Drosophila melanogaster: one gene and its partner. The protein of the gene in region 2 interacts with the protein of the main gene of each other region in a pairwise test. Each region holds a gene or a part of one and is shown on either strand. Other genes may lie near its edges.

Region 1 (10,868 bases), on a different chromosome or scaffold from region 2:
CGGGTAATTGCCTTTAATTGCATACCTGGCCAAAAATTGCTGCTAAGACACTGACCTAGACTCGCTCTGGATCGAACTTGTAATAAGCTCCGGCTAACGGAAAACTCAAAATGGAAAATTGATTCCCCAGCGATGAAGTTCAATGTTCAGAGTTTTGCGATTTGTAAGCTAAAGAGAGCGGGGCGGGGGGATGGTGCATTGTCAACAGGAAGAGAGCTCCAGGTTGCAACTTCGGGGAACAAGAACAACGTGAGCTAATTGACAGACAGCTACACAGGCACGATTTTCCATTTTCCGCTGGCCATTTCCCGCGGGTTTTAAGCCCCTTCCCCCACCCTCCTAAAGTGGCGAACAAGGAGCCATAAAATAGGAGAAACACAGCAGCAGCTGCAACAACACTTGCGTGTCCATCATTAGAACGAATTCTCTCACCTGAGCCCCGCGCCCACTTTCCGCCTTTTCTTGTAACGCAATTTGCACACAAATGCTGCTGTTTCATCTTCGTGGCTTTGGCTCTTTTTGGTGGGTGGTCAGGTGAGACAAGCAGCACCACTAGCTCCACTAGCACCACCATATGACGCCGCACGAACCGCTCGCTGAGCCGCCTGAGAATCGTATTTAAATACGAAGGTCTAACGCTGGATCGCATCAGTCGTCGCCGTCGCGTTGTTCTAGCCGCTAGCTCCTCTCGAAGATCGCAAACCAAGTCGGAGTTTAAGACGGGTTCCAAGATCGGATTGGCAGACGATCGAATCGAATCGGATTTGTTGGGGGAATATAAGTTTATGTGGTGACTGTGCACCTGGAACAGGATGCCCGTTTGATACTTGTTTCATCTCTCGATTGGATTAAAACGAATGCGATTTGAATGATGTGGCATCTGCATCGGCACGCGAATTCCCTTTTGCTTCTCTGCGCAGTTTTAGGATACTTTTCGGATCCTGCGAGAGCCGAAATCGAGTACAATACCATCAGCGAGGATGGATCTTTTCAGTTTCGGTACATAGATGTGTGACAAACTATAGTGAACATTTTTAAAGGATATTAAGCACTGAAAAAAAAATTGGCATTATGGATTAAATGGATATGCATTTAATTGCAAATGCAACACCCTGTGACTCAAGAAATTTGATGAATAGTTTTTGTTACAATTGCAAAATTTTGAATTTAGTAAAATTTTCAATTTACCTAAAAATGCTTTAAAAGGCAGGATATTTTGACAGAAATTAGTAATTTCCTTCGTAATACGATTATCATAATACCTACATCGACTAAGATTTTTAATAGGATTTTAAAACTTCACAATAAAATTAATTCAGATAACATTGAAATTAATATTTTTCAATTTTCAACTCATTGCATTAGTCATCACAATAAAAAAACTTAACCAAATAACATAATTTACATTAAATAGAATAGAACTTTCATTGTCGTCCAATTTCCTTTTAAAAAAAGGATTAAAAGTAGTTAGTCGCTGAAAATAAGAAATAACCTTCCCCAATTGCGTACAAACTTAGCTGTTTGGTAGAATAATAAACCTTTTGAAAAGAGAACAACTCAATTACAGTTTTTTAGCAGCCATGGGTCATAAATCTAACAAATCATCTAATCGGTCAATGATGTCTGCTACCTTACCATCACCATTACACCCGAGAAAATTTGAGATTTTTAGCACCTCTTTAACGCCTCAACGTTTTGCAACCACAACAATAACACGCTTCCGACCATCTTTCCCTCTCCATTTCGCACGCATGGGGCAACGCAATTACTTCTGTTTCGATGGATCCCACCTGGCATGGATAATGGATATGCTGCTGCTGGTACTGCTACTGCTACTGCTTCCAATCGGCCAAAAGACATGCAAATGATGACATTGGCGGCTACTATCACAGCGCCTCGGGCACTCCGGACAACACGGTGCGAGGTCGCTACGGTTCGCGGAGTCCGGCGAGCGGGCAGATCGAGGAGACGGTCTACACAGCCGGACCACGTGGGTGAGTAATCGAAGACGGTAGCCAAGACTAGTGGGTAAAGTGCGCTGGTGCACTGCAAGAAAATAGTATCATTTTAGAGTGCATATGTGTGGAGAAAAATGCATTTAAAATTGATGATGTCAAAATATGCGTAAAAGAAAAACATAATTTTTAAAATATATGTATTTCAAATGTTTTTAAAAATAATTAGGCAACGATAAGTTCTGTGGGTATACATGACTCGAAGGTAACTTCCTTGAGGAAGGTCGGCGGTTTTTTCCTGAGTGTATTGGCCGCTGAGGAAGTGGCAGCACAAAGTGAGTTATCTCCCCTCGATGTCAGAGTTGAGCTCATATATCAGCGGTTGGCGGCAGGCGGCGGCCACTGAAGCGAAACCCAAACAAACGGAGGGGGATCCATGGAGTTGGAGCCGTTCTAACACATTGGACTGCTTTTTCTGGCGTTGCCTAAACGTTTTTCCATTACCGCTTCGGCGCTACTGTTGTTTTTTGCAATCTCCGGTAAATCGGGGGAAACAAAAAGCTGTTAACAAATTGACTGGCCTGAGAGATTCGAGCCAAAAAAAAAAGAGGAATGGATTGTAGATGGCAGATGCTCAACGATAGCGATGATTCTGAATGGGATCGTTCCCCGAGATGTGTAGTAATCGAAGTAATGGCGTGCCGGGCTAAGATCGAATCTATATTCAAAATTGCAGTGCAAGTCCGCTTCCGCTGAAAGGGTTTACCCAATCCCCACTCATTGTGTCGGTAGCTAATTAATCTCCCTCTATTTCCCACATAGATTTCGCGTGAACGGACCGAAAATCCATCGGAAAATGGACCTGGCTCAGTATCCGGTACTGCCGCGGGGAAGTCCGGACGATCCGCTGGCCGATCCCTTCGACGATCCATCCTACAGCTTTAGTTTTCGCACTCCGGATCAGTCGCGCAGCGAGGAGAATGATTCCGGGAATAGGATAAGAGGCGAGTTTAGCGAGTATGGTACTTAAGAGTATATTAACTGATTCTATCCCAGGTCTGTACTCCTATTTGGACGACGTGGGCGAGCGGCACAGTGTTCGTTATGCAGCTGGAGCCGGAACCGGATTCGAGATCTCCAACGCTGTGCCGGACAGCCCATCTGTTGTGGCGTACTCCAGTCCTCTGTACACGTCCCATCCCAAAGCACGCGGCAAGATGTCTGTGCAAAGGGGGCCGGCTGGAAGCTATAAGCTGATCGCCTCAGGTTCGGATCACCGACGGGCAGAAAGTCGAGCACCCGATGGCCTGGTGCGAGGAACCTACTCCTTCCTGGACGACAAGGGCGTGCAGCGGACAGTGGAGTATATAGCTGGAGCAGGAATTGGCTACCGGGTGGTGCAAAATCGGATTGGTCCTGGAACCCATAACAATCCCTCTGTGGCTGATTTTCGTTTGACAGATCCAGATTTCCGACTGGCTAATGATTTTGGCAGGGGTGCTGGTGGTGGCTTAGGTCCGAAGGGAGGTGGTGGTGGATCAGGTGGGGGAAGTGTTTCGGTAGGAGCTTCGGGGCCAAGTGGTGGTGCAGGTGGAGCGGGAAGGGGCCGTACTCCAAGCAGACCCGGAGGCAAAGATTACCTAAAGCCGGCTGATGGAGCAAGAGATAGGAATCGTGGAGATGGTGATGCTGGGGCAGCTGATGAAAATCTGGGACACCATGCTGATGACCAAGGGGATGACATTGGGCTTGGCAGCAGCTCCTCTGGTTCCACCAACTTTAATGGCAAAGAAGACAGAAGAGGGTTCCCTGCGGGTAGTCCGCAACGGGGCAGTACTAGATACGATGCCGGAGGTGACAGCTCTCAGAGAGGTGGTTCAGGTAGCTCCACGAGAAACAATGTTAGTGGGTCCCGAAACAGAAACCGATTCGGCGGCGTTGGTGGAGTAAGTGTCTCCTCTGAGCGGGGAGCAGGAAGGGGAGGTGCTGCCGGTGGTGGAAGCAGTCGTCGAGGAGGTGGAGCTGGAGCCTCCAGGGAAGGCGACTCCGGCCTGGGCTACCTGCCGCCCACAGGTGGATCGGGCACCAGTGCCATGAGCGGACCCGGGGACAATTACCACCTCAACGATGACGATGTGGGCAGTTCACTGCCTCCTCTGGTCACCGCCAACCACCGAATTCTAGAGATCGACAGGGATCGGGAGTGGGTGCAGCGACACCGCGACTCCACCGTCATCAAGAACGTGGGTAAATGGTACGTGGGCCTGCCGCCTGGTCAAAGTGTGCGTGCCCATGTCCAGAACATCGACATAATACCCTTGGGCGGAAGGATCGGACTTTCGCCGTCGGAGGCACTGCGTCAGGATGAGATCGCCGAGCTGAATGCCTCAAGGGAGCACTAAGCACCCATTGGATCTGTAGATCTGTAGTTTGTAGTGCGTAGCTCTAAGTGATCAGTGTTGAGTAACCGAAACTGGGTTGACTCCACATGGAAACTAAAACAGTATTTAAAGCGGAATACATTTTTTGCCTGTATCTGTATCTCAAACTGTATCTGTATCTCTAGCGAATAGTTATTTGATATCCGTGGATCCGGGTATAAGCAGGTTAATCTGCACATTGCGGTTTCCTTGAATCCACATATAACCCCATGACTTAGCATGCTCGGAGTTTAGTTGTTTCTGAGACTTGAACATGATGTTGGTGCTTTTCATTGCTTCGCTGATAGTTTCCTGTGCTCAAGGAGCGCAAGTGTATATGCAGTTCAATGGACAAGGATACTCCTACAACACGGATGGCGATAGATTGGATAGGAGTGTCGTTAAGCCTAGTTTTGGGGCATCTTCTCTGGATTCCTTTGGTCCGCTGAACTTTGTGCATCAATCTCTGAGGACAAGACAGAATCCACTTTCCCGGATTTCCTACAATACACAGGATAACCTAGCAGTGGCAACATCTTCGCTGAGTGCGGGCTACCAATTAGCATCGACCAACCACCTGAAGCACCGGCAAAGCCAGCAAAACTTTGATTTCAGCACCGACCAGATGTCGCATGCCCAGCACACCGATGAGGCGGGAAATGTTTTGGGCAAGTACTCCTACTACGATGAGGCTGGCTACCATGAGCTGAGCTACAAGGCGGGCGCCGGCATCGGATTCGTGGTCATGGGTGGCAATTTGGCCAAGGCCACCACCGCCGCTGAACCGCACTCGGAAATCGAAATCGGAAACGGAATCCAAACAAATGCCTTGACTAGCCTGCAAGAGTTGCATAAATATCGTGGCTACACGTAAATAAAATATATTAGCCAAAACTATTGCTCGTTCTACTTGGGTGTTTTGCGTTATTTACTGGAAGTCTTTGGAGATCTGACAGTGTCACCTGTCGTGTTTGAGACCTACGTGATCGGGGATCTGAACTGTAAACATATGTCAAAGAATGAATGACTTGTAAAACAGAGTTCATTCAAAGAAAAGAGTGCAGCTTTGCTTGGTTATAGAATGCAAGCAATAGTCAAATATTATCGAGAGCTCTGGATTTCATAACTTCTACGCGGCACAAAATTATCTTTGGATCGGAAGACATTATATTAACATTTATAAATAATGGTGAAATTAAAAAAAAAATGTACGTAAAAATAGATGTCCAAAAATGTATGAATTCTTTTTGTAATTGTAAATCTTGGAATATAATATTATGCTAAATAGGACGGTAGAAAGAATATTTTTCTTCATTTTAAAAAGAAACATAACTTGAGTTCCATAAAAGCGGTCATCGCATTAATAGAAAATTTTCTTGCCTGGACATAATTTTTAAACGTTTTACAATAAAAATGTTTGCATAAAGTAGATAAGGGTAAACATTGTCAGTTTCTGATCGTAAATGATTGTAAGAGCTTTAATTGCTTGTGGCGCGTGCTTTGGCACGATACAACTGCGGCGATTTATGCATGTTATAAACCCTAATTGATTTTCCGATCATAAAAATGGTTATATTCGGTCGCACAAAGTCATTTTACAAATGGACAGTGCATCCCAAAGCCAAATTGAGTCAGCTCTGTGGCTTATTTATTTTTGTTTGGGCAATTTCATGTCGGAAAGGGACCAAAATAATACAGCATTTGAAATGTTCGACGCGTGCGCGCACTTGCCAAATAATTTGAATCGAACGGAAAGCCTTGGCGTCCACGGCGTGGCCTAAATAAAATATATTTCTGGCCGCGCGAAGCCAAGAAAAGCCCATAAGCAATAATAATATGCATATTTGCTAAAACAAAAAGTTATTACATGGGCCAGTTTTGACCGAAAGTTTCACTGCCACAATTAAGTTTTAATGTCAAGAGATCTAAGCGAGTGATTTCCCTGAAACAAGTTCCTACGCACTCGAAAACTTTCTTCGCCGAATGCACTAAAAGAACGTACAGAAGAGCACTAAAAAGCTTGCCATAGCTTGACATAGATTCTATTCGGCCGGGTCTAGGGTTTGTATGGCTGAAATGGCCACGTTCTCAGCGTAGAAATCAATGGCTCACCTGGGAAGTAGCCGAGGTGCATAATTGGGTTAGCGTAGCAGCAGAACGGCCTGCATTGAAACCACAAATTACTGGGGCTCCGGCTCTCCCAGGTGCCAGTTAGCTGTTTCTGTTTATTTTCCCCCTCATAAACAACGGTTTGGGCTGGGATTCTCCTCCTCGCCGAAGGTCAGACTTAATTGGCCCGGGCCTAGGCAACGACATCCCACTAGCAGTCCCGTTTCGCCTGCATTTATAAATAGGCCCCAAGGTCTCTGGGTCTTGGGTCTTCGGTCTTCGGTCTTCGGTCTTCAACTTCTCGACTCGCTCTTCGGCTGCTTGGATTTCAGTTGGGGTTCGATTTATCGCCTTTTGATTGCTGCATTCCAATTGTGGATCAAGTGGTGCGTGTGGCGCATTCGGGGCTTACAACGTGTTGCTGCTAATTTCGTATGCTCCCTTCGGCTCTGCGCACTCGAAACCATAAATCTTGTGGCAATTTTATTGATGCCTGCGTGTGCCACAAAGGTCGACCCCCCGTTCGATGCTGCTTAATCAAGGAATATGCATTATTTCACAGCGCAGTCAGTAGCTGGCTGCTCGGGGCATAAAAGCCAATAAAAGAATAAATTGCAGTTGTATCACAGCAAAGTTAATCACAAAATTAATGGTTCTGGGCTAATAAAGACTGGTCTGCAATGAAAACAAATGACTTAAGGCACGAACCTGAAATCAATTTCTCTGATTTCAGACATTTGTTATTCATGATTATCGATCAAAAACGGTCCGAAGCTAAGTCTTAATCCTGACATCTGTTGATACCCGAGAAGTGTGTGAAGTCTTCACGCCGAAGTGCTTGTCAAATCAAAAAAAAAAAAAAAGAACATGACTCTTGAGTCACTATGTGCGAAACTTTCTAACGAGTTCCAGGCAAACATTTTAATTGAATTGCCCGGCAACGAATCGATTCTTTCATCACGGTAAGTCTCTTACCATTTTGGCTTATGTCATGTTCTGGGCCCGTTCCGAGCTGATTACCTTTCCACTTCCCACACGCATTTCGCTTCTATTCTCGTGGCTCACTCCACTTGTAATGGCCAGTCACTTCGCTCCTGTCCAGTCACACTCAATCAAGCCAATAAACGGCCAATTAATCAAAGTCAGCGCTGTGATTCTGTGTTCTTGCTAGGTGCGAGTTTGCGAAACAGTAGACTGAAGAAGCGACTGTCAGCACATTTAATCAAATGCTTGAGAAATATCTGACAATATGTTAGGCAAACTATTTGCCTAACCCAAGGGATCGGGGAAGATTTCGATCTGCGAAATCCTAGAGTTGTAAGCCTGCATATCAATTGGTGTTGTGTACCCTGGAGCTGGTAACCAAATCCCACAGATCCACGCCCCCAGATAAAAGCCAGGCCAAGGCGCTCGACTACGTGCCCGAATCGCGGTCTTCTCTTCGACTCTCTCTTCTGCCCAAAACCCAGTTCTCTTACACCTGATCGGGCCCTGTTTTCTTGGCCATTTCTTTCGCTTCGTCGTTTGCATCGCTAATGGAAATGTTATAAACAGACGCGCTGGGCCCGGCCAGCACTCAGTTCATCTTCAGACGTCGCCTGGCTCGCTGGCTCTTGGTTCTTGGTAGGAGTTCCATTTCCAGACCCTATTTATTGTGCGTGACAAAAAAAAAGAAAGAAAAACAACGGAACCTGAAACAATCGTAAATTGAAAGCTCAGCAGGATTGGTTTTATAGTGCTTTTAGTGTGTGTGATTTTGCCGCGTGATAACCCAGAGTGCCACTCATTCCCGTTCTCGTTTGCAGTTCAAGGATATATTGTCAAGGCGAGGATTGGTCAACGCCACGAACACCAAGCATTTATTGAAAAATCTGAAACTATTCACCAGAACCTCGCGTTAAAATGCGCTTTCTTGTTGTAAGTCAAATCGCATAAAAAAGAAAATTAAATACCATGAATGACTTAACTTCACATTTTGGGAATACAAAACGAAACTAGTTTATACCTGACCGCAATTAATCATTTATTGCTCTGTGCTGCCGCTGAACTCATTAACTCGTCAACTGGCCCAAGTTCGTGCCTTAAGTCTTTTGTTTCTTTCACTTCTGAATCGACACTAACTTTCACTAAGCGACTTTTTTGATTCTTGGCTTGGTTCTTTCCTTTTTTTGATCGCCTTAATTAGCCTTAATTATGCTCTGTGCCATATGCAAATATTAATAAGAGTGCCTAAAATCTTTTTGGGGTTTATAATAATCACAAATCAATTTGGACGCAAAGAACTATATTGGGGAAACTTTTTTTTATATGAATGCAAAAGGTTAAGACTTCTTTGTGCCAGTTATTGTTCACTTAGTAAAGGTTTTTCAAAAGAGTTAATTCTTTCTGAAAAGTGAAACCCTTTTGTCCATTCCATTTGAACGTGACAATATTCTAGCCCCACCCCAATTTAAAAAGTGAGAATTAATCATTCATACCTAGGAAGTATTGTTCCTTGCATTATTCATATTCCCATTATGAAAAGCATGCCCTTAAAAGTCAAAACTCTACAGCGACTCCCATAAGCAACAATGCCATTCAATTATAACCACAACCAATACAACCACTTGGGTTGAAAAGCCCAAAAAATAATTATGACTCAAAGAACATAAAATTAATATGCCGCAAACGTATAAAAATCATGCGTGGGCTAACAAATGGTAATATAAGTCTTCTTTTCCCCCTCCCAACTATCAAACAATCGGTCACATTTGTGTGGGGTTCTTAACTATAAGTGCACTGGTTTGTTTTCGAGTTTGTGATCGTTTCGATAGTGGTTCATAAATTAATCAATTTATGAGTGTAGACAGTTAGCCACACGTCCCAAGTCCATCAATCCCTGCTCAATTAGCTGCATTGGAATGGCTCTGGAATATCATTTAAGACCAAAAGACACCTGATCGGATGTGAAGATCAGGAGACAGACTCATTTATAACTTGTTTGAGAACATAAAATGCTGCGCTTAAACTTTGCATTCGAGCCATTAACCCAGTTTATTTTTGGACAAGACACACCTGATATGGGGTCGAATCGGCATCGTTATGTGAGGGCAATATAATAAATAAGGCGAAATACACAAAAGAAAGCAGACAGAAATACATCTTACTGCTTGGGGATGCAAGAGTTCTTGCAAATCAATGGCAACCAGGTTCGACAGCCTCTGCGCCAGAATCTCTTCTCTCGAGTTACGTTTCGGCACCGAAATCGTAACAGCCGCCTAGAGGTTCAGGTCAATGACACAACACGAGCCTCGACTTCGAATCCAGCTTTGGTTTTGGCTTTTGGTCTCAGTTCCTCTCGGCTTTGTGACATTTCGGCGCTGATAGATAGGCGTGCGGGCTGGTCGTTTCCACCGGCTAACGGTTGCGTCAATATTGACTTTGCCAAAGATGTGGAGAGCCGGCGAGAGTGAGTCAAATATTTGCCGATCGTGAGGTTCTTGACAATCGTATTCGAGGGAAAATCCGTCAAGTACATAAGCCGTTCCTTGCCACCTGGCTCTCACTTTTCGGCGTAGCTTTCAGCAGCGAAAGAAATTATGCAAATGTGCTGGAGGAGCAGGGAGAGAGAGACTTTCGCGACTTTCGGGACTTGACCGCATTCCACACGTGTGAATTTTGTATCCATTACGACATCAGAATACAGACACCCTATCTAACCGGCATAAATCATAGATCTCATTCATCTATTGTCACACATTTGTCTTTCAGCTCTCAACACTGCTTCTGGCCTCTTTGGCACTTGGCCAGGCTCAACAGCACGGTGGACTGGCCGTCGAGTAAGTAGACTAGTAGCTAGTTACCCAGCCCTAAGACCCCAAATAACCATGAAATGCCTTGCCTGCCAAATGTGACTGTGTCAACGCTAATGCTCATTCCAAGTAGAAGTTGATGCGCTTGCCTAGAACTATGTGACTAAACCGAAAAAAGCCCAGACTTGTGACTAACCCTCAAAACTCATTTCCCTCCACCCAACAACACATTACCCTGCATTAGCAACTAGAAGCTAACTCCACCAACAGATAGAGACCACCAAACAAACCCCACCTTTCGTTTGCAGAATTCAGAAGCAGCGGCTGGTCAAATTTCCCGAGGACTTTGAGCCCAATGCGGCCACTCCGTCCTCGGAAAAGGCGGACGAGGCCAAGCGCATCCTCGAGCAGATAGCCAAGGTTAACGAGGCCTTTGGCTACGTGAAGAAGCAGCCGGAGCAGCCCAAGCTGCCACCGATCCTTGATTCCAGTCAATACCTGTTCCCCAAGCCCGCCCATCAGCCATTTCACGCCCATCAGCACCACTTCTCGGGAAGTAATGGTCAGACCTTGTTAGAACCCTCAATTAGGGC
Region 2 (10,736 bases):
ATAGCGCGCTCAGCTGTTCGAGTTTGCGGCTGTGTGGGTGCTAGCTCTCTCTTTTGCTCTCTTTGTCTTTTTCGCTCTCTCACGAAGCTTTTTGGCTTTTGTTGTTTAGCGTTTCATAGTAGATTTTATTTTGTGATTGCCAGCCAACGAGTTTGGACGCATAAATTATCATCACTGCAACCCGTGGAATTTTTTCGCACAAATAGCAACAACAACAAAATGTCGTCCACAGCCGTTCAGCCACCGCCGCCCGTTCCCCCGCCGCCACCATCGGCCGTCCCTTCCGCCGGAAAGGGCATCCACTCCAAGCTGTACAACGGGATGATTGGCGCCGCCGACAAATTTGTGCCCGCCAAGCTGCGGCCACTGTGGATGCATCCAGCTGGTAAGCCTCACATAGACCACTATGCTACATAAAGAGCACATCTTTAGGTTCGGTTTGATTCCAGGTCCCAAGACGATATTCTTTTGGGCACCCGTCTTCAAATGGGTAAGTAGACAGAAAGCCAGACGGATGGGATTACATAACTCGGACAACGCACGACCTTCGCTGATTTTCATTATCGCACACATACTATAGTTCACCATAAATCCGAAACGACGGTAGACAAATCTGAGCGCAGGTGCCATTAAATGAAATTATTTGATTATTTCGAGCAACCTGCGCTTGATAACAACCGCATACGGTTGTGTTCGTGAGCGGATTGCCTTCTGTTGTGGAACCCTATGAAAAAAAGTTTCCCAAAAAAATCAAAAACTTTTGATTTATTTAGTTAGTTTGTTTGTTTCGATAGTAGGCATATAGATGCCTCATACTTATGTACATACATATATCAAGCCACAAATAAATAAAACAAAGAACAGCCAGTTGAGATCTCCCATAGCGGCACTAAAACATAGAAACTGAAGATGCCTAAGCATATCGCGTCCTTTAGTTAAAACAAAAATTAAATAAGCAATCGAATCCTTTATCTCCTTTGCCAGGGTCTCGTTGCCGCCGGCCTGAGTGACTTGGCCCGACCGGCCGACACCATCTCCGTGTCTGGATGCGCCGCCCTGGCTGCCACGGGCATCATCTGGTCGCGTTACTCGCTGGTGATCATACCCAAGAACTACAGCCTGTTCGCCGTGAATCTCTTCGTGGGCATCACGCAGGTGGTGCAGCTGGCACGGGCCTACCACTACCACCAGAGTCAGGAGAAGCTGAAGCAGGAGCAGCAGCAGCCGGCGGTGCAAAATTAGATACATATCGAATCGAATACCGGTGCTGTCCCCTTTATATAGACTTTAATCGAACTTTTATGTACATACAAATCCCACAACGCGCAACGTAAACGAAAGGATTAAGAGGAAGCTGTACTAGCAGATCGCGAAACTGCGTTTTACAACCTGTTAACCATTATTATTTATGGTTCACCGCCTTATCGACGTGATTCGTATTACTTAAGTTGTAACTGTGGAGGCTTTGCGTATAGTTAAATCGAAACGAGAATGATAAATCAATACATTTTAAGACTTTAGTCACTAGATAAACGTAGTTGTTCGTTTTATTAAAGTGGATGTGGCCCAACATGGTGGCCCAACAATGGGTTATATTCAGTAATATAAATGAACCAAACTGGCTAAAAGATATTTTCTTAAAAGTATTATTTTAAGTATGCCAAATTAGGAAAACATATCCAAAAGGCAAAGGTAATCAATATCTTATTCTTTGATTTAATACAATTATGTTTGACTGATTTAAATGAAATGAGCTGTTATTACAATAATTGCAAAAGAGTAGAAATCCTTAGATTGCAATAAAACCGGATTATCAAGAAGATAACTCATACGCCATGTGTGATGAATCTATTTGCACATTCGCTGTTCGATAACTGTGTTGAGTTTTACACAATTAGTCAACACAAATTAATTAAAAACCAATAAAAGGAGAATATAACTAAGAGCTTATATTAGTTTTGCGGCAAAAGCAAAGTGCAAAAAAAGGGGCTGGCGTCGTCGTATTCCAGTGGCTGATAGTGCTGGTGATAACAGGAGCGCTAAGCTAATAATACTAGAGAAACATAAACATATGTGCATGGACCCCGGACTTTTCGGAAAGCTCAGTTGTAGATGGACGCCTGGTTGGAGCTGTTGTGCCTCAGTTTGTTCAGGAGCACTACTTCCCAACTGGTTTATCGCAGTCCCAGGCGATTGTTATTCCAGCGCTTCCAATCAATCAGCCCATACTCAACAAATACTTGATTACAGGTAGGCCATATAGAATTCCTCTCAATTCGCAAACCTGACCAGCAGTTACTCTGTGCATCTGCTATTGGTTGGACGTTGGAAAATATAGGAAAAACAGTAGCGTTCCGGAATGTCTGCCACTCCTCCAACAACACCTGCGCCCACGGCTGCAGCTTCCGCCGGAAAGGGTCTTCACTCCAGGGCATATAATGGACTTATCAAGGCCTGCGACAAGTATGTGCCCCCCAAGATGCGACCCTTGTGGATGCACCCAGCAGGTGATCATAAATAGAAGCATTTTAAGCACAGAGAGGAACTAACATATCTTTCCTTCAGGACCCAAGACCATATTCTTTTGGGCTCCAATCGTTAAGTGGGTAAGTTTTTGCACTACTTGCATAACCATGAACCCTGCGTCCTTAGCCAATTCCCATTATCACCGTACTGATAAACAAACCTGTGGGCGAATATTGTGTTTTATTATTATTTGTTTAGTTCTCGGCAAACCTGTTCAAGCCCGCGATAAATATGTATATATGTACTTATATACCATTTTCCTCTCCACGCGCGAGATTCTGATAACTGAATGATTGTGCGGTTTGTGGGGCTCATGGAATATTTCATAATACTTTTACTGTTTTGACTGGGGGGAGCTTTGCCAACATGCTATTCAGATTTGCAGTCAATGGGGGGACTTACCCTGCACTATCGGCCAGATCTCCCTAATCTCCGCAACCATTCCGTTTATATTCCACCACAGAGCCTCGTTATCGCGGGTCTCAGTGATTTGACGCGTCCTGCGGACAAGATTTCGCCTAACGGATGTCTGGCTCTTGGGGCAACGAACCTCATCTGGACGCGCTACTCTCTGGTGATCATTCCCAAGAACTACAGCTTGTTCGCGGTTAATCTCTTCGTGAGTCTGACGCAGCTCTTCCAATTGGGTAGGTACTACAACTACCAGTGGGAGCAGTCGAGGCTGGAGAAAAATGGCGAGCAATGCCCGGCTATTGAAGCCAGTTTGTAGTAGTCCAATTTGTGCATTTCAATGGATTTAGTCTAAATAAAAACAAGTTTTAAGGCTTTAACGGTCAATACATTTAAAGTGGAAATTTTACAGTAAAAAAATGTTAAAAAAATAAGTACTATTTAAATAATTAAAAGTGAATTTTATAACTTTTTTTTAATGTTATTAATTGCAATTTAATTGCTTAAAACAAAATAGTTTATCAACATAAATTTAAAACCAAGCTAAATACACATCACTTTCAATTTAATCGATAAATGTAAATAAAAACCGCCGAACATTGTGCTGTTGGTCATTTCTTGTTTACTGCAATCAAATAAAAATACATAAATAAATAATAATATGGCCCTGGTGGACTATGGTGGCAGCAGCTCCTCCGCCTCCGAGGATGAGGACTGCACCGAAAACATTCAAACTCCCGCGTTGATCACCTTGAAAAGGTAACGTCCTTTACTGGAATACCCGTAGATTTCTACATTATAACCGCCAAAGACCGGCCCTACCCAAAGCAGCCACCCTGCTGGGCCCCAAGAAGCCCAAGCCCGAGGAGTTCGTCGAGGATGTGGTGGATGATCCCGCGGAACATGGCGGCCGCATGCGTAGTTTCAAGCATGAACGGGGAAACTGGGCCACTTACGTCTATGTGCCGGCAACAGCATGTGTTGACCAGCTGGAGGAGTTCCAAACGGAGGCCATTGCTCGTCTGGAGCCACACTTGGAACTGCAGCCGAACGAGTCGCTCCATCTGAGCCTGAGTCGAACAGTGGTGCTGCAGTACCATCAGATCGATGAATTCTCCCGATCCTTGCAAAGCGCCCTCAACAGCTCTGCGGGGTGAGATGTTTAACCAAGTTAAATCTAGTATCTCCCATCCTGATGACCAATCCTCTTTTAGATTCGCCGCCACTTTGCAGGGGCTGCGGATCTACACGAATGAGGAGCGAACCAGGACCTTCATTGCTGCGCCCCTGGACGCTGCATTTGTGGAGAAGATGACTGCCATTCTGCAGCCCATCGACCAAGTGATGCTCGACTACCGGCTGCAACAGTTCTATGATCCGGCCTCGTTCCACGTCAGCCTTCTTTGGTGCGTTGGCGACCAGGAGACACTGCTTAACGAAAAGCTCACGGAGTTAAAAGAGCTCCTTGATGATCAGGACAAACTCTGCCTGGCGGTCAATGAGGTGCACCTAAAGTGCGGCAACAAGGATTTTACCTACTCGTTGAAATAGGATATTGCCAGTCTTTAACTGAATCATAAATATTTATGCATGCTGATCTTTCAATTGGAATGTAGTGGAAAATATATATTGACTTTATTAGGTATCAAAAATGTAATCTGTTCCATATTAGCTCATATATATGAACATATAAATTGTAGTTTGCTAATAAAAGCAAGATTGTAAAGCAAGCCATAGCGTTGAATGAATGGTTACCATTAGCAATCCAAAGATGTTTCCTTACAAATTAGGCTTAAATATAAGAAGTCCAGTGATTACCTTTTAATTAAGACCCTTTTTCTTGTTACCATTTCCCTGCTTGGCCGCCTGCGCCTGCTCCTCCAGTAATCGCTCCTCCTCCAGCTCCAAAAACCGCTGACGACGGCGGCCGAGCGGGGTCTTCGACCACCAGGACTCGAAAGCTTCCTCCTCTTCGCGGTAGACGGGATCTCGTGAGCTGAAAGGCATGGAAACTAACAACTAACTAATTTCATAGCCAAATCTACTTACCACAGAACATTGATCAGTTCGGCATTGGTCAATGGTTGGGTGCGCAGCTGGAGTTTCCGCTTGCAGGTCATCACCTCCTTGAGGCACGCATCGATGGACCCAATGGTATAGCCATCTGATATTTTGGCCATGGCGCTGGTGTCCAGATTGGAAATGCCACCAGAGTAATCGCTGTCGGGGTGCAAACCAAATCAGTAGATTATTTTGCAAATGAATCCCCCACATTTACGCACTGTAACAATGTTTTCCAGGCATGTGACATGGCGCCGTAATCCGGTCGTGGAATATAGATGAACCGATTGTAGACGGATTGCAATAGCTTTTGATCCGCCTCCCAGGGCAGATTGGAAGTGCCAATGAAAACGACGCGATCCTCGGGCGCAATGTTCTTTATCAACTTGGGCAGATCCTTCTTCAGTCGCTTGGGATCTGTGCGATCCGTCTTTGGAATTTTCTTCATGAAGGGCCGCTCCGCATCGCCCATGAATATCACCGCAGGCTGGAGCAGTCGCGACACTTTCAGTACCAGATGGATTAGCATTATCAGTCCCGATTTGCCAGGATACTTGCCAACAATATTGGCAGGAGTCAGATCAAAGAGCACGGCACCCACCTCCGTGCAAATGGCGTGGAGCAGTGCCTTCTTCCCAGATCCTTTGGGGCCAGCTAACAGGATGGAACGTATCAGTGGAGTACAGTTATGTATGGCATCAGATCCCAGTGGAAGGATGCAGTACTCCGTGAGAATCTGGCGAATGTCGCCCGGTGAGGGATTAGTGCCAATCCTGGCAGTCAACGCCTTATCGCCCAGGAATTGCTTTAGCCTTAGCTCCGGGTATTTCCGGATTATGCCATTCGTGACCAGCTCCTCGTACAGCGACTCCGTAGTGCGATCCGGCGTTAGATCCTTCTCCTTCTTCTTTTTGCTCTTCTTGCCGGATCGCCGAGTTTTTTTGCTGCTCTTCTTCACCTTCTTGCCGACGGCCGTTTGGAGCAGCTCGATCTCCTGGCGCATCACATCGTCGACGGCGCGCCGAAATTCTAGCTCCACCTCCTGGTACTTGTCGCTGTAGATCATGTCCTCATAGGCCGCTTGGCTCAGCACACCGGTTTCATCCTTATCACGCCAGGTATCGTTAAACCTGAAGTTGTAAAAAGATTAAATTTGGATCAATTTATTATATATCTTTACTCACAGATCGATCTCCGCACGGATGTCTGGCAGGCAAACGGACGGTGCCGGCTGGAAGCTAACTTCCTCGTCTTGGTTTTCGTTGACGTTGAGGTCACCACTGCGAGCGGGTGACTTGGACTTATCCTTGGTCTTTCGCGACTCCTTGGAGGAGCGGGCCGACGAACGGCTGTGCTCGCTCTCAGTTCCAGGTCTGCTGAAAATATGCAATGAGCCGCCCTGATCCTCGGATGGAAAGTCCGGCAGCTTGCCAGTCTTGTCGTAGCAGTCCTTTACCCAAGCCCGAATCTCATCGGCAATGTCCTCCTTCATGCTGGCTCCGTGCTTGGCCCGAATCTCCTCCTTTAGTGCGTTCTGTCGCTCCTCAAACTCTTTGCCGTAAAACGCTTGCGCCTGGTAGCGCTTCTCGTTGTGTTGCAGCTTCTCCAGCTTCTCGGCTCGTTCCTTAACCACAGCCGGCGGTGGTGGCAGCATTCCGATTAGGATCATCTCCTCCATTTTGCGGCGCCGCGTTATCCGTCGGGCTGTGTGGCCACGCCACATCTTCTGAATCTTCATGGCAGCCAAAAGACCAGAGTCACTGCGCTCCTTTTCGGTGCGCTCCTCCGACTTGCCCTTCTCCTTTAGGATGCGAATCTCCTTCATGAAGTGGGCACGCAAGCGTCCTTGTCGCGCTCGCTCGTGCATTTGAAGCATCCTAATGGCTTCGATCTCGGTGGTAACCGTCTCCTCCAGCTCGTGCTCCTCAAGCCAACCCAGCTTCGTTAGGATCTCATGCATGGTCTTCTTTCGAAACTCTAGCTCCTGCTGACGCTCGCGCAGAAAGTAGCGTGGTATCCTCAGCTCCGTTTCCATGGGCGTCAGGCGCAGGCGTTCCACCACCTCGTCGTTGTAGCTAAATTCCATCAAGTCGATATTTACGAGATCGTGCTTCAGCTCCACCACTCGACCCAGACAGGCGTCTAGTAATTTACGCACCAACTGGCGCTTCTGAGGCTGAATCATCTATGATGAAAGATGAGAAGTAAACCAGAGTCAAAGGATATATCATCTCCTTATATATATCCCACTTTTGTTTAAGAAAGTCGTATACCCACATTATCATAGACATCCTCCAAACGATTGCTCAGACATATGTAGCGCAGATAGAACTCGTACAGACTGGACTGCAGCAAGGCCTTGGCATCCGCATCGGCGGCGACGGATCCGACCGCTGCATTCATGGTGGCCACCGTCGTCTCCACATCCTGGTGCTGCCTCTCATAGTCAATCGTGGATAGAAGCTCGCATTCATGCTGGGATTGGTGCCAGATATCATTGAAATATGTGCTGGACATGATGGTCAATGATACTCCTCCAATGAAAAATCAGATTCTTGTTTGAGCCAAACGAAACGTTGCCTGGGAGTTGCCAAGGAACTTTTTGCCGAAACGGGGTGGAATTATTGCAAGGACAACGAGAGTTTAGTAATTTTGTACACACATAGTTGTATATAATACATTTTGTCCAAGGCGTTGCCTGGTGTTACCCTCGAGAATAACAATAAATATGTTTACATGGTTACGCTTAAAAGGTTAAATAGTCCAATGGATTTGAATTGGTACAATGCATGGAATACCTTAATACATAATGCACATTCATATTTAGTTAATAAATAGTTAACAATATAATTGGGGCTATCTAGTCAAAATAGACTTTAAATGTTATCCGTGGAACAGTACTTGATCATGGATTTGGTGTGCTTAAACTGAATGCCACTAGTGGCGGCCACGACCTCTTGGATAAAACTCTGCGAGTTATGGATGGTGGTGCCGCCAAGAATGACTTTATAGCCGGCGTTGTTTAACTGGTGCACCGCTAAGGCTTCCTCGTACGTGGCACCGCCAATAATGAACACGACAACCTCCTGCGGTGGTCGTCGAAATGGCACAAGCTCTGAATTGATGGCCGGGAAGAGGGGATCCAGCTCGCGGCCCTTAAACACGTCCTCCAAAGTTTCCTTCAGGAGAGGAGTGTGCTGTGTGAAGACATTTTCCACACCCTTAAGGCCCTTAATCAAATTCCGTGTCAGCTTTACGGCGTCCGTTATCCGCACCATATTGAAGAGATCTCCTTGTCGTACATGGGTTCCAGCATACTCAATCAACGATGGCACTATAGCCGCTCGTCCACCGCGCGTTTTGATTATTTGCAGCAGTCCAGATGTGTCGCAGTTGGCGTGTCGCTCGTATCGCAATGCATAAAGTGCCACCAACTTAAGAGCATCATCGATGGAAACCCGTTCGTCGGCAATTAGTTTTTTGATTCTCTGCAGCTGGGCCGAGTGCTCCGCCTTGCAAGCGATCTCCTGTTCAAGTTCGGAAACCTCGAAGAGATTCCTCTTGTTGCTCAGCGCCGACAGTTCTCCAATCACACACAAATGCTTTTGCACAGTGCCAGACATTTTTTTAAACTGCGGATATGACTCAATAAAGTTCTTCATGTCTGCTATGCTCTCCACTTTCTTGTGGTCGTTCGCCTTGCGCTGGAACTCCTCCATCAGTTGTTTGATGGTAGATCCGATTTCGCCGTAGTTGGCGTACATGTTGTTGCCATAGAAGTCATCCTGATCACCGGATAAGACCAGCTCCTTGAAGTCTTTCGGCACATTGGGGCAATTGGACAGGTCCAATCGATTGTTTTTTATGTGCAGCAACTCATGCACCATGGCCTGGTATGTCCACTGATGCAAAAGCGGCGTCACAGGATCGTCCCTGCGGTCCAGCACAAGCAGCAGCGGTGGCGCAGCGCCATCCATGTTGGAGCGAAAGTCGAATAGCGAGGACTCTTTTGTGATTTGCTCGTATATGAGCTTGGCCAGAAGCTGCGCTGCCTGAGAACCGGCTCGGTACCGGATCACTGGGTTCAGCTTAAGGGACAACAGCACGGCTGTGATGCCCTGCATGCTGCGGTTGAGAGCGTCCGGCAGCCAATTAAGATTCGCCATGCAATTGGGAATGCCTAATGAGAACAGATTGGGGTTGACGCACAGGTAGTCTGCATACAGTTCCTTCACTTCTCGCACCGATTCGGATTCGTCGCACTCTGCCAAGTATTTAATGTCCGTCCGGGGAATGATGTTGCTGAAATCTATTTATGAGTTTAGTACTATTCCGAAGGTGCTTCTACTGACCCACTTACAAATGTAGTAGGCGCTGTATTTGGGGTTCCGCAACTCGTTGGCCAGTAGCTGGATGTTCTGCTTGGTGGGGCGTATAAAGACGATGCATTTTAGATACTTTAACCGCTCGTTGGATCTTCCCGAGTCCAGGCGCTCAAATAGGTACACCTCCCGTTGCAGCATGTCCGATTGGCTAAAGGCCATCGAAATTATACTGGTCTGCGAATGATGTGAATTTTTGATCATATGGCAGGGGATTTGATTGTCAGTCCTTGCACTTACCGTCTCCTTGTCCAGCAGAATGATTTTCATGCCCGGTCCCGACTCGGAGCACATTTTCTCGATGTACAACTTAATGCCGCTTATCAGATTCATGACTGCTAACTAATTTACTGCGAAAATCAGAAATTAATGTTTTTTTTCGCAAACAGATGGGTTGGAGATGCCCCAATTGCGATAGCTCCGTGATAACAGCGGTGACCAAACATTTGGGTAACATTCGCTAGATCTAGCTAATGTAAAATAATGTGAATATGTAAAAATGCATATAGATAAAAACTTACAATTTTTTGGTAGTATAATAAAAATAGCAATAAAGATAAACATAAATAGCAATTAAGCTCAAACATAATTCCGTATCTTTTCATTAGCCAAAATAAACTTCGAGTAGCAACATCCCTGGCCGGCAATCGATAAAGCGCCGATATGCTCGAGCGATATATCGAGTGCCCAGTAGTTATCAGTCTGAAGCACTCGCAGCAGTCGGCCAGAAATTCTGGCATATATTTTTGGATTCAAATTCGGATGGCTGATATGCAGGTGGACTGTTGAAAACCGGCTAAATACAAGAGTACGAGCAAAGCATAGACTAGGACACAATGGAGATGCAACTGGGAGCCATGCTGTATGTGTACAAGGGGGAGTACGGACTGCCGTCCATAGATTTTGAATGTTTACGTGCTCTGGTAAGTTCCGTTGCATCACACGGCGGCCAGCACGCCTGTTTTGCCCATTATCGCAGATGATGAAAGAAACTGATGAAAGCGCCTCTTTGCCGGAAACAGTGCCTCCTGCGATTCACCCGCTGCCCCATGGACGTGCAGACCAGCTCCAATCCGCTGCGTTCGGGAGCCGGGAAGCTGCCGTATCTGCAGATCGGCAACCAGAAGTTCGCGGGCTATAGGCAAATTAAGCGCGTGCTGGATCTCGAGGTGAGTGAGCAAAACAATGCCGGGGTGAACAAACTGCAGGCTCTATTTATAGATATGTGTTTTTTTATGGGCTTAATTCGACGTATTCTTTCAGGGTTACCCGATAGATGCGCATTTAAGCACTAAACAAAAGCATTTGTCCACCGCCTACGCCAACTGGGTGTTCACCAATCTGCATGCCTACTAC

The links.
Region 1: the proteins of CG9396 (region 2) and CG13022 interact in a two-hybrid assay, tested with the Drosophila melanogaster proteins (one large-scale study listed by BioGRID).

Annotation. Positions count from the first base shown.
Region 1 is NT_037436.4:16,932,727-16,943,594, reverse strand, and holds CG13022 (uncharacterized protein), read left to right. Parts: upstream 1-4,642; 5' UTR 4,643-4,652; coding exon 4,653-5,249; 3' UTR 5,250-5,265; downstream 5,266-10,868. Other genes in the region: Cpr73D (cuticular protein 73D), read left to right, coding at 872-999, 1,857-1,994, 2,778-2,959, 3,012-4,357; CG11905 (uncharacterized protein), read left to right, coding at 8,387-8,401, 10,235-10,302, 10,584-10,868.
Region 2 is NT_033777.3:9,563,003-9,573,738, reverse strand, and holds CG9396 (uncharacterized protein), read left to right. Parts: upstream 1-2,115; 5' UTR 2,116-2,250; intron 2,251-2,338; 5' UTR 2,339-2,359; coding exon 2,360-2,507; intron 2,508-2,565; coding exon 2,566-2,606; intron 2,607-2,989; coding exon 2,990-3,256; 3' UTR 3,257-3,325; downstream 3,326-10,736. Other genes in the region: CG9399 (uncharacterized protein), read left to right, coding at 220-385, 450-490, 985-1,242; CG16790 (uncharacterized protein), read left to right, coding at 3,599-3,696, 3,749-4,090, 4,152-4,488; CG16789 (uncharacterized protein), read right to left, coding at 4,759-4,933, 4,987-5,157, 5,220-6,128, 6,183-7,183, 7,276-7,515; Vps45 (vacuolar protein sorting 45), read right to left, coding at 7,875-9,307, 9,359-9,557, 9,621-9,713; CG9393 (uncharacterized protein), read left to right, coding at 10,217-10,303, 10,403-10,549, 10,644-10,736.